Drosophila melanogaster: one gene and its partners. The protein of the gene in region 3 purifies or fractionates together with the protein of the main gene of each other region. This does not show direct contact. Each region holds a gene or a part of one and is shown on either strand. Other genes may lie near its edges. The genes, in order: CG7924, Dhrs4 and CG6180.

Region 1 (5,154 bases), on a different chromosome or scaffold from region 3:
TCATTTGCACACCATATATATATATATATAGGCAAATGTATGTGAAATATCCCATGGCTGAGGTGCAGTTGGTGAACGATCTTCTCCTCGATCTGCGGCACATGAAAAAAGATTGTGTTAGTCGATGCACGAACCTTTGTATTGGAATATAGACTTATCAGTTCTCTTTTTCTATATATTTACAGCTGGAACTGCTGCAGCGCAAGGTGGACGATCTGTCAGATACACAGAATATAGCTGAGGATCGGACAACCCGCACCAAGACCGAATATGCAGTCCTTCAGGCGCGTTATCACATGCTCGAAGAGCAGTACCGAGAGGTTTGTATTTAATAATTCATTCGAGTTTTATTTATTTAAGTATTAAATATATACTTGTTTAATTATAAAAAAATAGTTAATGGTAGATAGGAAGTACGCTATATGAAAGAGGTCAAGAAAAACAAAACAAACTTCTTCGACAAATAATAATTTTGTTTTTGTGTATTCAGTTTGTAGAGTTTGTGAGTGAGTTTTTAGAAAGATAGTAATTAAATTTATCAAATTTAAAGCAACTAAATTACTTTGCTCAGAAAAATATATTTATGTAATGTCATCAGATTGATTAATCCCAATAACAATCAATTTATGAGATTATGAGATTTAATCATAACTCTTTTCTTGCAGTCGGAACTGCGTGCCGAGGAGCGTTTGGCAGAGGAGCAGAAGCGGCACCGCGAGATTTTGGCCCGCGTGGAGCGTGAAGCCTCGCTGCAGAACGAGAACTGCCAGATGAAGATCCGTGCCACCGAGATCGAGGCAACGGCACTGCGGGAAGAAGCCGCCCGACTGCGTGTCCTGTGTGACAAGCAGGCCAATGACCTCCATCGCACCGAGGAACAGTTGGAGCTGGCGCGCGACCAAATCGGCGTCCTGCAACAGGAGCACGAGGAGCAGGCACAGGCACTGCGCCGCCACGAACAGGAGAAGAAGTCCACCGAGGAGCTGATGCTGGAGCTGGGCCGGGAACTGCAGCGTGCTCGCGAGGAGAGTGGAGCCCGGGCAATGCCGACCACATCGCCGGAGAGCATAAGACTGGAGGAGCTGCATCAGGAGCTCGAGGAGATGCGCCAGAAGAACCGAAGTATGTAAACATATTATATTTGAGGGCTTACAACTAAACAATATGCACATTTTTTCTTTACTAGCCCTCGAAGAACAGAACGAGGAGCTGCAGGCCACGATGCTGACCAACCAGGCCACCATGCTGACAAATGGCGTGGAGCAGGGTCGCCATCTGCTGAACGGAACACTCAACAGTTTGGCTCAGGAGCTCGAGGAGATGTCACAAGCCCAGGTCTGTATTTGAGTCCATCTGTTACGTCGCTTGCTTCCGCTTTTAGTGTAGTCCAATCCATCATTCCCACACCCACAAAAACACAGTCTAGATGCCAAGTCCAAAAGCACACGCACAGTCACTGCAAAAGAAAACTGATTAAAATGCTATTTTGGAACCTACAGTTTTAAAGTGTCCTACTAGTGTCCGTACTGCCCTGCGCTTATTTTAAAAACCATTTATCTTATCTTAGCCCACATGTGTATTTAAATTGACATTTATTGTATTACAGGATTCTGTGGATTCAGCCACATTAGCATCCTTAAGTCAGGTAATGCTTCAATCACGCAAAAGCCGCAAACAAAAAGAACAAATAATAAAACACGGTTTTGGAGCCACTGTGCACGCAATGCAGTTTGACCTAAACAAAATTTGACTTAAAACTAATATTGGTTATTGGTTTTTTTTTATTCGATCAAACTTATTACGGACAATTTATCACCTGGCTAACTATATAACATTCATTTGTGTATATATAAACATTTCAAATTCTTTTCTTATCCATGTTTTGTGTGTTGCCTTAATATTTTTCGAAATACTAATAATAATGTATGTTTTGCAGCTACAACAGGCCTTCCAGGAAAAGGAGGATGAAAATGTTCGGCTTAAGCACTATATTGATACCATTCTACTCAACATCGTGGAGAACTATCCTCAATTGCTGGAAGTCAAGCCCATGGAGCGAAAGTAGTGCAGTCTACTGGAAGAATAAACCAACCCTAGGCACTCGGCAGAGTGTCACAACCACCTAACATTACCTAAAATTAATAAACTAACTAAACCATACTCTATGTTAACTTTTTAAGCTACACTCTATACATGTATTTATGCCTAACTTAAGTCATAATTTATTTTATAACAATTTAATGTAGATTTTTAAACCAAAACAACGCAGAGAACACAAAGATTGCATGTCAAAATGATAAAAAAGTCCTTAATTTGATTAGATTATGTTTTGTATAAAGAGAGTCCAAAATTATGTAAAAGTTTATTTTCCTTCGTTTCTAGTTTGCGTTTTGTATAGTTCGTGTTGTTGATCCATAAAGATATTACTTATAAATATTGTTAGATTTTAAGTCGTAAAAAATCTTTCACTTATTAATGAAATGGAACCCAATAATTTATTGATAATTGCCAGAAAATCTAATTGTGAATGTGTATAGCATAAAGAGATTTTATGAACTGTTGATGCTTGACAGGAAATATTTCCAATTTCGTCATGGCAGCTAAGAAGGTTTTTGCTAGGACAAGTGCTCCATTTTTCAAATCTTTCCATCACATGCATACTTCTTAAATCTTTCTATCCATATTTTGCACTCTCCGAAAAGATCTTCCCTAGTTTGCCTGTAATGTAGTTACAAAAATCTATCAAAAAATTTGCGTTTATGGTATGGACAATCCCAGGATACAAAGACGGAGTTTTAGTTTGATGTGAGTCTAAATGAGAGCAATTATCACGAGGAGTTTATCAATTCAGAAGTTATATCTTAATCCACACACATATGTCAATGTATAGCACAGATAAAACTAATCTTACTCTGCATATAAAACAACATTAAATGGACATAATGTGCAAACGTTTAGGGATGACACATGATAGCTCCAACGAAAGCGATCCCTAATAGTCTTAGCAACTGAATAACTCAAGCGGTCAACCCTAATTTAGCTATAATAATATCCAAGAAAACTCGATAATCGATGTGTAATCGTTAATCAAAATTTTATTGCCTTAAACGGATGTTTTAAAAAATGTACTAAGGCTTAGATAACTCTAACAAAAAAGTCCATAAGGTTTAATGACATGCTGCGAAATATGGAATTTTAAATGTAATTTACTAGATGCAAGTCGCTGAACTTATATCAAAATAAAAAGAAGAATATTTTATAAACACAGGCCCGCCTTTTTTTTTTGGACTGGCCCTAAAATAAAAGCGATACTAATTGGCGAAACTCGTTTGAAGACAATGCACATAAATGTTTAATTTATTAAGGAAGCGTGACGCGAAGAACAGGTTTGCTTTCCAGGAAAGATTGCATAAGATCTTTTCGATTTGAACGCGTTATATAAGCCGGGTTCTGCAGCAGTGAAGGACAGAGAAGACATTGGAGTTAAAGTTACAGGATGTTTAAGCCACAATATCACTTGGCCGCAGGTGGGCAATTGAATATCATTTTCGATTGAAACAGAATTGAGTTTGACTTTTGTACTTTCCAGTGCTGCTGTGTTTCGTCTTCACCACAGCGCAGGTTGTGCCAAATGCAGAAATCGGTCGGATTACTATCCAAGTGCCGTTGCTGTCCAATGGAAAGCCCGTGATCCTGACCAACCAGGAACGGGAAGAGATCGCCACCGTGCAGGAGATCAAGCCGGGAAAGGTCCATGTTGTCCAGGAGGTAGTGGTGCCACCTACTGTGAAGTCTGATAATAAGGTGCGGGTGACAAGATCAGTTTCGGATTCTGGTATCCCTAACCATGGAATCCCAAATCCTGGCATCCCTAACCATGGAATACCGAATCGTGGAATTCCTAATGATGGAATCCCAAATCCTGGCATTCCTAATCATGGAATTCCAAATCCTGGAATCCCTAATCATGGAATTCCAAACCGTGGCATTCCTAATGATGGAATCCCGAATCCTGGCATTCCCAATCACGGTATTCCCAACCCTGGAATCCCTAATCATGGAATTCCAAACCGCGGCATTCCTAATGATGGAATCCCTAACCCTGGCATCCCCAACCATGGAATCCCCAATCCTGGCATACCCAATCCCGATGCTTCCGAACTTAAACCAGTTGTTGTAATGCCCAGCAGTCGTACCACCAGCGCACCCGCATCTACATCAATGCCCAAGCGAGTACCCACCAGAAATTGTTTCCATCTTCTGATGGGTGGCACGACCACTACGTCGCCAGTGGATATGATGACACCACCATCTATGGAAAACTGCGATGAGCTATGCACCAAGTTCGAGTACTCGCCCATTTGTGCCCACAATGGAATCTGCATCCATGAGTTTGCAAATCAGTGCGTAATGAACACCTTCAACTGCAAACACCGCGATTTGTCGTTCCGTGCAGTGGATGAGGATGTGTGCCGACTGGGAGTTTGCATGAGGCGATGCAAGGAGGAGGAACTGGCGCTATAAAATGGCGATTACTCTTAGTCATAGTGTTATATCAATACAATATAATTTGTGTAAAAACATAAAAAAAAACATTTAATTAAATGCATACATAACATAGAAAAGAGTAATTTTTTCTTCTAAAATTTGTAAGTCAAGTAAACTTTGCTTGATCTAGAAACTGATTTTAAACTTTGGTAGAAGTATTCTTGCAATTTTTAATAAAGCCTAACAAATTAAAAATTAATAATGTTTCAACAAGAAAGGAATCTTGAAGTAATTAATAAGCGCTGATTTTTTTAACACCTGTATAAGAACGTAATTTTTCTAATATCATTTAATTACTTTTTTATAAAACGTGTTTACGAAAGGTTCAAGTGTATATGATTAATGAAAATTTTAAGTTGTTTTTTAATTTTAATTAATTTTAATTATTTCCTTTTTGTAATTTGGGGCGTATGAGTTAAACAAACTCTCAAACTGCCAGATGCCTATATTTGGGAAAACTGACTGACGGTCCTTTAGTGTACTATGTACTATCTATGTAATTCAAATCGTCCTTGGTTCTGCTCTATGTTCTGTTGATATAAAGTGGCGTCTTAAACTGACTATTTGCCTTCGAAATGAATGGGTTGCCAGGATAAAGCAATTGCT
Region 2 (5,128 bases), on a different chromosome or scaffold from region 3:
CAGCTGGTGGAGATCAGGAAGCAGAAATCACGCACATACGCAGCAGCGGGCAAGATTCAGTCCATTGGCTACCAGAACAAGAACATGGGCGCCAATATCGCCCTAAGCGAAGCCATGGGCACCACGGCCAAGACGATGGGTGAAATGAATAAGGTGATGCGACCGGAGGCCATCGGGGAAACAGTGCGCCAGTTCCAGGCGGCCAACATGAAGATGGAAATGACCGACGAGATGATCAACGACACGCTGGACGACATGCTGAATGAGTCCGGCGACGAGGAGGAGTCCAATGCCGTAGTCAACAAGGTGCTCGACGAGATCGGCATCGAGATCTCCGGCAAGATGTCCAGCATCCCGGCCACGGGATCCTCAGACTTTGAGACGAGTGGCAAGCGCACCGAGAAGGACATTGCCGATCAACTGGCCAAGCTGCGCTCCTCTTAGTCCTTACCTGTTTTTCATTCTATTTTGTAACTACTGTGAACATCGCTGTTATCCATAGCCCGTAAGAAATTATATTTATGTACACCGCTTACAAACGAGCTGTCATTCCACCGCCAGCCACAATGGACTCTCCGGTAATGTAGCCCGCATCCTCGGAGACCAAAAAGGAGACCACGCCAGCCATCTCCTCACTGGTGCCCAGACGACCCATGGGTATTTTGCTCAAAGCCGCTTCATTCGCCGACTCATTCTCGTACAGTGCTTTCGAGAACTTTGTCCTGATGACTCCTGGAGCCAGGCAGTTGACGCGAATGCCCTCGGGCGCCAGATCCTTGGCGGCTGCCTTGGTCAAGCCAATCAGCGCGGTCTTGCTGACGGAATAGGCTCCCAGTAGCTATGCGATTAAGATAACGGAGATAAGCATTGAACAACTGAACCGCAGATAAGGCGACTAACCTCAAAGGCATCATAGCCAGCAATGGAGGAGACGAAAACGATGCTGGAGTTCTTTTGCTGGCGCAGGAGAGGCAGTGCCTCCTTGGCCAGCAGATAGGAACTCTTCACGTTCACATCGAAGATCTTGTCCCACACCTTCTCATCGCACTCGAGGACACCGCCGACCGCAGGATTGGTGGCTGCATTGCTGACCAGAATGTTGAGCTTGCCAAACTTGCTAATGGTCTCCTCAAAGAGCTGTTTGCGATCCTCGGGTTCGCTGACATGGCACTTCAGACCGTGGACATTCAAGTTCAGTTTGCGCAGCTCCGCCAGAGCAGAGTCCACATTCTTTTGCTTGCGACTGCTGATGACCACTGCGGCGCCATCTTCGGCCAGCCTTTTGGCAATCGCGAAACCAATGCTGGGAGGGATTAATCAGAATTTAGTGGGTGCGATCCTCTCCAGTTTCTATTGAGCTGCTTACCCATCGGTGGAGGCGGTGACCACGGCTACTTTTCCTGCCAAACGCTTCATCGTGCCGGCTGTCGAACTTTGACTACTGCTGGACAAGCGTTTGTGGCATTGATTGAGATTAGGGCCAACAAGTTTTCGGCTGTAATTGTTGCTGTTTTGATCGAAACTTGAACTTTGACCACTTCCACTCACAGCGCTGGCATTCAGACGGATCTTGGGCGCCCTGACCACCAGTTGTTTGCTCAGATGCAACATTTTTGAAGTAGGACTTTTGCGAAGGATCTTGAGATTCGTTGCCTAATAATTGATTTTCCCTATTTTAACTACGAATCTCCAAACTGTTTACTAGTTCTTCTTTTCAGCGGTTTGCCATTCACAGTGAATGAAAAAGCTCATTCGCCGGTGGCGCGAAATTTGAAAATTTATTAAAGTTATCTCTGCAGTGGCTTAGTAATAAAAACCAGATTAACCTACATAATAACTAAAATTAGGGCTAAAAATATCATTTATCCCTAGTCAATATGTTGTAATACTCCACTTAGGGCCACTCAGTCATGGGCAGATAAGAATTCTTGAAAAGAAAATCTTCCCACAGCAAGATAAACGCTGCGTTTCGTAATAATATAAACAAAGATAAATACGCATGACAAACAAACCGCAAAAAGTTGGAGAATCGCTTGACATAATGGACTGTTTTCGGATCCGAAACATATATATGTACTATATATATGTACATACGAGCCGAAAGTGCAAATTAATAGGGGATCGCAGCGATCCGTACGATCTGACTTCATTATAGACGCAGTCGTCGGCGGAATCAGCACGCAAGTGGAGTCTCCGGTTTTCCAAGTCAATCCGGCACGCGCTTACGGCTTTGTTAGTTAGCAACTTTTCGCAACCGTCGGCGGGGCATGTGATACGAAAAAAGGCGCCCATGCTAGTGAAACTAATCAGCAAACTAAAGATACACTAAGCCAAAGAATATTAAGTGAAACACACATAGAACAAGATGAGCGAGCAGACAAAGGAAATCGAAGCTCTGCCGCCCACCTTGCAGGACTTCAAGGCTCCCGATCTGCCGGCCAATAAGCCAGTGCTCTTCTTCCATCCGTACAACTTCCATGCGCAAAAAGTTAGTAACCGCTTGCTTTCAATCATGTGATCATTGAAAAGGTATTTGCCCAACAGATCCAGCCGCTAATGCCGCGAAATTACAAAACTAATCATTTCCAAATGAAATCATCGTTTTATTTACTTTTTTTCTCGTATTTCTTTTGTTTTTTTCGATGTAATAATGGGGTGGCCCGCGTCGAAGGTTCTCCACCCAAGATCTTTATTAAATCTCTCGGCCACTCGGATGCAATGGAGCATGACCTAGCGGGTGGCGGGCCGGAAATGTAGTAGGGCTAGCGCTATTGGAGTTCTCTAGTTTTCCATTCTGTACAGATATGACAGCATATTTACCTGCTGGCTGCTCCAGGTGCTAATGAAGTGGATTGAAGCGGAGTGAAAAAACAAAATAAACAAACTTATGTGTGGAGGAATCTGCTCCAAAAGAACGTAATATAATAACTAAACCGAAATGATTTAATTTAATGCCAGATCGTGTCTAAAAATATCTGTTTTGGTTAATGAAGCGAGTAATTAGTAGCGGAATATTGCATCTTTGGGTTCGTCTTTAGATACATTTAAGCAAATGCACATATATACTTAATATCTGAGTTATAAATCTGCTAATATCATAGCTCAGTTAAAGTGAACCCACTTATCATCGCAGGTTCTTATGGTCTTCTACGAGAAGAAGATCGACTTCTTTCCCTATGTGGTGGACCTGTGCAATGGCGAGCAGTACTCCAATTGGTTCCTAAACCTCAATCCCAAGGGCGATGTGCCAGTGCTCCAGGATGGCGCCCTCGTCATTCCCAGCTCGACGCACATCATCAACTATGTGGAGAGCAAATTTCGCGGTGGTAATTCCCAGTTAGCTACCCGCCCATAGTAACTTGACTTATCAACTTCATCATTTAGATCGATCGCTGAAGCCAGCGCACAACTCCAAGGAATTCGATCAAATGCTGATCTTCGAGCAGGCAATGGCCCGCCTTCCAGTGGGAACACTCAGCCTGGGCTCCTTCATACACGACGATCTGAAGCTGGTGCCCAAGGCGCCCTTCATCGGACCCGTGCGCCAGTCCTGCCTGAGTAAGTTACTCGCACCTGTGAACTCAACAACATAACTCAACAGTCAACACTCGTACGCCCCGCAGAAAACAATGAAAAGGTGCTGGATCTGCTGCGCCACTCGGTGGACGAACAGGCGACCAAAAAAGCAGCGCTGCAGCACAAGCTGGACATACAGTTGCGCCGCCACGAGCTGGCCTCGTCCCGCGAGGAATTCCAGAAGGTTCTGGATGCCGTGCGGCACTTTCTGCTCTATGTGGAGCAGGAGCTAACCGCCCAGGCGCCACGCGTTGAGTGGCTGACCGGCGACGAACTGAGCGTGGCGGATATCTCGCTGGGATTGCTGCTGCATCGACTGTATCAGCTGGGATTCGAGAATCAGTTCTGGACCTTCGGAAAGCTGCCGCAGGTGGAGGCATACTTCTTGCGCTTCCGGCAGCGCGAGTCCTTCCACCGCCTGCAGCCGAGCAACTTTGCCATACTGCGCGAAATGTGGACCCGAACGCCGGGCAACTATAAGCTAGGAGCGGGCGCCGGCTTCCTGGGTATGGCCATGTTCGCCGCCTTCGCGCACAAGTGAGCGGAGCAGCGGGACAGCAGACTTTGTTAACAAATCCTTTTACTGTTAAAGTTGGGCACATATAAACACACGAACATAAGAACGCTTAAAGCTACGCACTGCTGATGAAGGATGCTTGGGGTGTCATGGTAAGAATCCGGCGGTGGAGGAGGATGAGGAGAAGAGCGCGCGATCCAGTGCCAGCCTCGGCTGCTTGCTTAGTAATATCATCATCGTTTCATATCATCGTTGCTGAATATACAAAAATTTGGTATAAATTCCAATCCGTCACCTAACTATCAATTCCTTCTATGCTTGATGGCTGCTCTCCCCTCTGTTGACTTGACCAGGGTTCAGCTCTCAGCTCTCCAGCGTCTGCTGCTCGCGATCCCTTTCCCGTTTCTGCTGATCGGACATCAGCAAATTGGCGGCTGCACTGGCCGCCTTGGGGCTGGTGAACAGCGGCATTCCCATAAACGTGGGTATCTGCTGATCCCTTGGCACTCCCGTCGTTGCCGCCTTGCCATTGAGGTTGGTCCTCGAACTGTTGGATCCCGAGCTCGTGGTGGCCGCACCCGTGGATAAATGCGAGGGTCGCTTGAAGGGGAAGGTGGGTATCTCTCGCTGATAGCTGAAGCTTCCGTTGCCAGGCGCCTCAGGCAGCAGACCGGGCGTGGGATACCAGAAGCGATAGGTGAAGTACCAGGTGAGTATGGCAATAATGCCGCTGATCACCTTCTCGATCATGCGGTGATAGTACAGCATGGTGCCCACCAACATGATGTCCCACAGCAGCTGCAGGGCCGCCATGCCGATGAATAGGGTGCGAATGATCGGCGTCAGGCGTTTGTACAAGAACTGCAGGCTGCGCATTTGCTCCTCGTTCAGCGTTCTCAGCGGATTCGTGCCCGAGTTCTCGGCTGTGCTGCGATTGTGTCGCTCGTTGCGGATGTGCTCCTTGATGGTCTCCCAGCGGATGATGGGACGCGCCTCCTCGATCAGCACCAGGCTGGAGTGGATCAGGATGAAGGC
Region 3 (5,173 bases):
TATCAATCGAACAGTGGTGGTGGTGGCGGAGGTGGAGGAAGAAGCGGCGGTGGTGGAGGAGGCGGTGCCGGCGGCGGAGGAGGAGTAGGTTCCGGTGGCTCTGGATGGGAAGCTGGTCAGCGCGCCTTCAACTCGAAGCGCAATCAGCTGCAGAAGATGAATCTGAACAACAGCGGATCTGTTCGAAAGCCAGCTCCACAGCCAGCCGCTAAGGCGGTCCAGAACTTGCGCAACAATCCTCAGAAGGCTGAAATCGTCAAAAGCGCAGGTGCGCCCACTCTGCGCAACAACAAGACCGCCAACCTGCGTCCGGGCAATGCGACTGGAGTACAGAAAAAGCTGCCCGTTGCAGCACCAAATCAGTATAAAGTCAATAACGTAACACCCAATTCGAAAACGGTCTCGGTTACCAACAAGAAGCCACCGGTGGCCGCACCAGCCGTGAAGACCGGACCGCAGGCAAACAGGACAGGACCACAGGGATTAAGAACTGGACCACAGGGATTAAGAGCTGGACCACAGGGATTGAGATCTGGACCACAGGGCTTGAGAACTGGACAACAGGGCTTGAAAACTGGACCACAGCTGCAGAAGTCGGGACCACTGGCACCTAGAACTGGCCAGCAGGCAGTGAAAGGTGGACCACAAGGAGGCAAACCAGCAGGAGTGCCCAGTAGGCCGCCAAACGCTCCTGGATTCCCCGTCCAAATTAGTAAGATTCAGTTCTATTTCGTAAGGTTGCATTACAAAACTTTCTTCTAACTATTCCAATTCATTTAGTAGAGTTTTGCAAAGCAACTAGGAATAGTTTTACCATACACAAGTTCCTAATATGTTATGCATTGCAGGTCAGAAGCGTGTTGCCCCACCTCCACCGCTGGAAACGGAGGCTGCCTCCAAGTCGGTCAAGAAATGGCGACGCGTGGCACGCAAGCGCGGTTTCCTTATTGGCGGATTCAAGATTCCCTATCTCAACGATCAGCCGAAGAAGCTCCCACAGCCGGAGGCGGACTCATATGCCTTGACCTTCTTCGAACAAACCTTCAATTACAGTACAAACCAGGACGCCACCGAGGAGGACTTCGTAGAGGCGGCCGTAGTGCTCAACGAAGATTCGGAAGACGAATCGGTGGCCGACGACGCCAAGTCGGCTCGCAAGATTGCAAAGCGCAACAGGAAACGCATACGGTCCGATTGGGCACCGCTTAACGAATCGAAGAAATATAATGATTGGGGCAACTGGTGGAAGGACTACAAGAATGTTGGCGAGGAGATCGACCAGCAACTGTTGGAGTGTGGGAACTTGAATCTAGAGCATTGCTTCCTACCCAATCTGCCCAAGCTAACCACAGAGCAGGTGGTTTACGCTATCATAAAGTCGGCACACTTTGGTCTCGAGAAGAATGCCGACGTGCCGTACGACACAATGAAGACGATCTTTACGTTGATGAACCGCACCTTCCTGGATAACCTTACGGAGTTGAACATGGTGGAAATACAGGACATTATTCGCGGCATACCCAATGACCTGTGGGTTTACAAGTTGCGCAGCATGGTCTTCCTGTGGGCCAAGTACAAGGCCATTACCAATTCCAAGTCCACCGCCGAGGACGACGTCAAGGATCAGCAGGCGATTGCGCGCGAATGGAAGAGTCCATGCTTCCACTGGCTGGCCAAACAGGCTTTCGACGAGCTAGTGGTAAGTTGGTAACATAGTCATGCAGCCTATTTCATACTAACTAACTCCGACCTTGCTTTTTATAGGCAATCAGCGAAACCGAATGGAAAGACCATCGCACTGTCTTTCCCTCTATAGAGTAAAGTAATTTGGAAACTAGACACCTCCCCTCCTTCTCAACAGCCGAATATGCACTGGACCCATCAAAGGAGGAAATAGAGCGTGGGTTCTTCTTCAGCATTATTTTATGGATTGTATGAGTCTGCATCTAGTTGTATTAGAGACCTTTATTATTGCACACATGAAGAACCATCCTCTTGACTTTAAGAAGTAGATTGTAATTATGTCGCAATGCTTTTACAAATAAATAACTTACCCAGATGGGCGTCTCTTGCGCCCTGGGAAATAACTATAATACTGATCAGAAACGTTCTTCCTATTTGGAAGGTCCGATAGCAATTATGTCTTGTATCTTCAAAGCATGTATTTTGGCGAGATATAAACTCAAGTTCATGAAATCTGTATGTATACAAATGACGCTAGAAGAATCCTATTGATAAAGAAGTAGATTGTAATTGGAATGAATAATAAATACATAACCAGCACAGAAACTGTTTTGCCTCAGCAAAGGGTAACCGAATTATTACTTCAGACAAATTAACAAGATAAGATATGAAAATATTGAAAATGTGTAATAAGATACAGTGGCTTAGTTAATATGTCTTTAACAATTTTATTGCCAGCAACAGAGGGTTTCACAGAGTGTTCATAGGTGTCTTTAATTTCTAGGTTACAATAGATTTGAATCCAATTCAGACTGGCTTATATAAGCATGGTTTTTGGCGTAGAAACTAAGCGCCCAGCTGCTTGTAGAGGATGGGCACATAGTCGTCGTACTCAGCCTGGTAGAGGTTACCGGCAATGGGATTGCCGAGGGCGTACTTCTTGGCGAACTCGGCGATTTTGAAGCCACCGCGTCCATCTCCGCTGTTATTGGGCAGTCGCTTCTCGTCGAATGTGAGCTTGCACCGCTGCTCGTAGATCAGGAAAACGTAACGATGGAGTCCGGTGTCTGGTGGAGGCCCGGATCCCACGTAGGCGGAGAGAACCTCGCCCTTGGCGACATCTCCACCGGGTATGTTGCCCACCAGCCAATGGTGCCACTCCCTAAACTTGGGATCCTTGCGACTGGGCGCATCCGGATCGGTCATGCAGAGGGTGTACAGCTTATTGGCGTCCGCCTCCCATTTCACGCACGGCTCATCCTTCACCTGGGTGGGGGTCAGGACCTGACCCGGCTTCACGACAATATCGCCGGGATATTCCACCACAGCTGTCTGCGCCGGTGCCTTGGCGATCACATCCGGAACTACGCAGTGCTCCTCCATTGTTTTGCCTACTTTTTCGCAAGAATACTGCCGCTGAGATGCGATAAATGCAAAGATTGGTTTCGGTTCCTTGGTTAGGATAGAATTGCTAAAAGTTTTCAGCGTTCTAATGGCGGCCGGAAAGTTGACAGCTGAATAATTGACATTCACACCGGTTGATCGGATGTAATCTTTTCTAAATCCATTTAAAGCGCTGCGATTGAGATTACGCAACACCCGGAGCCGCATACAAATCATCCTTATTGCTTAAGTAAACCAAATTGGATTAATTAAAAAACTGTTTATTGTTCTATTTGCCGACTGACAATCGATAAGTTGCGATTCACCTGTAAGCGTTTAAACGTTTTTATCGCTATCGATAGGAATGTGTGATTTTGAATTTCTAATCTTCGAAAATATTTGCGCAGTCTACTTGAGAAAAGCATTTCCGGGAAATGAAAATAAGGCTGTGAGAATACTATAAGCAACTGAAATCATCATGGCTTGGGTTCCCACATCACGATTCGAGCACGATCTGGTGCAGTTGGAGCCGCACTTTAATCTGGTCCATGGACAGATCGCCTATGAACTGAGGAAGAAAGAGGAATTCTCAGAATCCGTTCCCATTCATACCTATGAGCTTTTGACAGCCCGCGAGGATCTGCTTGGATATGGCACGCGGGGTGGAAAGGGCCGAGAGATTCGTCAAAGTCTGCAAATGATGGAGACGATTCAGAGAGTAGCTGGCACCAAGCCGCTGGGAGAGCACGCCACAATGGAGGACTGGGAGGACACCACAATGGTGGACGTGGAGGCGATTGCCATCATCCGGAACTTCGGAAGAATGACCCTGAAACAGGACTCACTGACACTCCAGCCGCAGATCAGCTTACCTGCGGTTGCTCCAAATGAAAGCCAGCGATTTCCTTTAATCACAGATCGCGACTTCTTCACGCCACGAAAGATTCGTAGACCAAAGGATCTTCCGCCAGTGGAGAACAGTCCGGATAACTCAGCCGATGACTCATTTCACACCGCTAAAAGTCTGAGCAACTGCATCTGGCTGAACGGATTAAAATATCCAGATAAGACCAGCAAGGGCGAAATTCAGAATACATAGATACTTCATTAAATTACTAACTAACAAACCTTGAAAATAACTTGAAGATTTATTTTACTAAATCCGATTGAGCATGTACTCACATTATTTGCAATGAATATTGTCGTTCGATTTGGAACGACCTACATTTACCAATGTAGTAGAATATTTTAATGGTTTTTTTTTAGTAATACATAGATACGAATATCATATCAAAAATCAAAAAATAAAACTACAATTACAAATCGTTTTCATTAAGTCGTGTTTAATATATGTAAGTGTAACCTAAACCTATGTGCTTATGCTAGCGAATGTATGAATAACAAGAGTGAAGGAACAATAAATGGAAATGATGAGATGAAAGTGATTGCAGGTGATATGCACAGATATTTGGACCAATGCCTCGTTTACGGAGTAAAGCAACCTTGTCTTCAGGTCAGCCGCTGCAAGGGATGTAACTAGACCTGGTAGCGCTGCTTGTGTCAGGCCTTCCGGAAGATGTCGCTGGATCCGTAGGACAGCCGCCGTTCCTTGGTATTGCTGGTGACCAGCACCTCCTCGTCGAACTGCGACACCCGCTGCATTTTCGGTCGCATCAGTCCACGTACATCGTTCAGCGATATATCAATATCTCTGAACGCGTTGAGCAGGAACACAGCTGTGATAACGATCAGGAAGCCGCACACATCGCCGAGAATATCATCGAACCGCATGTGGGTGAACTCCTTGAAGAGGATGGCAGACGCAGCTATCACCAGGGTGGTGAACATTACATAGTACACTGGAGTAACTATACTAGTATTGAATATATCCAGCGCCTTGTTCAGATAGTTCATCTGGATGGCTATGAAAGTGACGGTGACCAGGATCAGGAACCATGGCATCCATGTGAGGAAGACGTTGCCTCCGTTATTCAGCGTCTGCCGTATGGCTAGGCCCAATGCCTTGCAGGACATCACAGTCAGAGATCCGATGCCGGAGCACAAGAAGATATAAACTACCACATTGGTGTGCCCATGCCGTGGTGCA

Evidence for each region.
Region 1: the proteins of CG6180 (region 3) and CG7924 purify together in Drosophila melanogaster (affinity purification with mass spectrometry, with the first as the bait; one large-scale study listed by BioGRID). This does not show direct contact.
Region 2: the proteins of CG6180 (region 3) and Dhrs4 purify together in Drosophila melanogaster (affinity purification with mass spectrometry, with the first as the bait; one large-scale study listed by BioGRID). This does not show direct contact.

What each region holds. Positions count from the first base shown.
Region 1 is NT_037436.4:14,229,991-14,235,144, forward strand, and holds CG7924 (uncharacterized protein), read left to right. Parts: upstream 1-3,478; 5' UTR 3,479-3,496; coding exon 3,497-3,527; intron 3,528-3,589; coding exon 3,590-4,524; 3' UTR 4,525-4,619; downstream 4,620-5,154. Other genes in the region: nuf (nuclear fallout), read left to right, coding at 186-320, 666-1,122, 1,187-1,335, 1,607-1,645, 1,937-2,065.
Region 2 is NT_037436.4:5,139,940-5,145,067, forward strand, and holds Dhrs4 (Dehydrogenase/reductase 4), read right to left. Parts: upstream 1,708-5,128; 5' UTR 1,612-1,707; coding exon 1,367-1,611; intron 1,304-1,366; coding exon 901-1,303; intron 839-900; coding exon 533-838; 3' UTR 501-532; downstream 1-500. Other genes in the region: CHMP2B (charged multivesicular body protein 2b), read left to right, coding at 1-444; Gdap1, read left to right, coding at 2,366-2,488, 3,134-3,326, 3,385-3,558, 3,624-4,117; Fitm (Fat storage inducing transmembrane protein), read right to left, coding at 4,457-5,128.
Region 3 is NT_033779.5:12,705,901-12,711,073, reverse strand, and holds CG6180 (uncharacterized protein), read right to left. Parts: upstream 3,414-5,173; 5' UTR 3,304-3,413; coding exon 2,530-3,303; 3' UTR 2,394-2,529; downstream 1-2,393. Other genes in the region: CG5787 (uncharacterized protein), read left to right, coding at 1-712, 849-1,699, 1,765-1,821; CG15484 (uncharacterized protein), read left to right, coding at 3,545-4,165; spict (spichthyin), read right to left, coding at 4,627-5,173.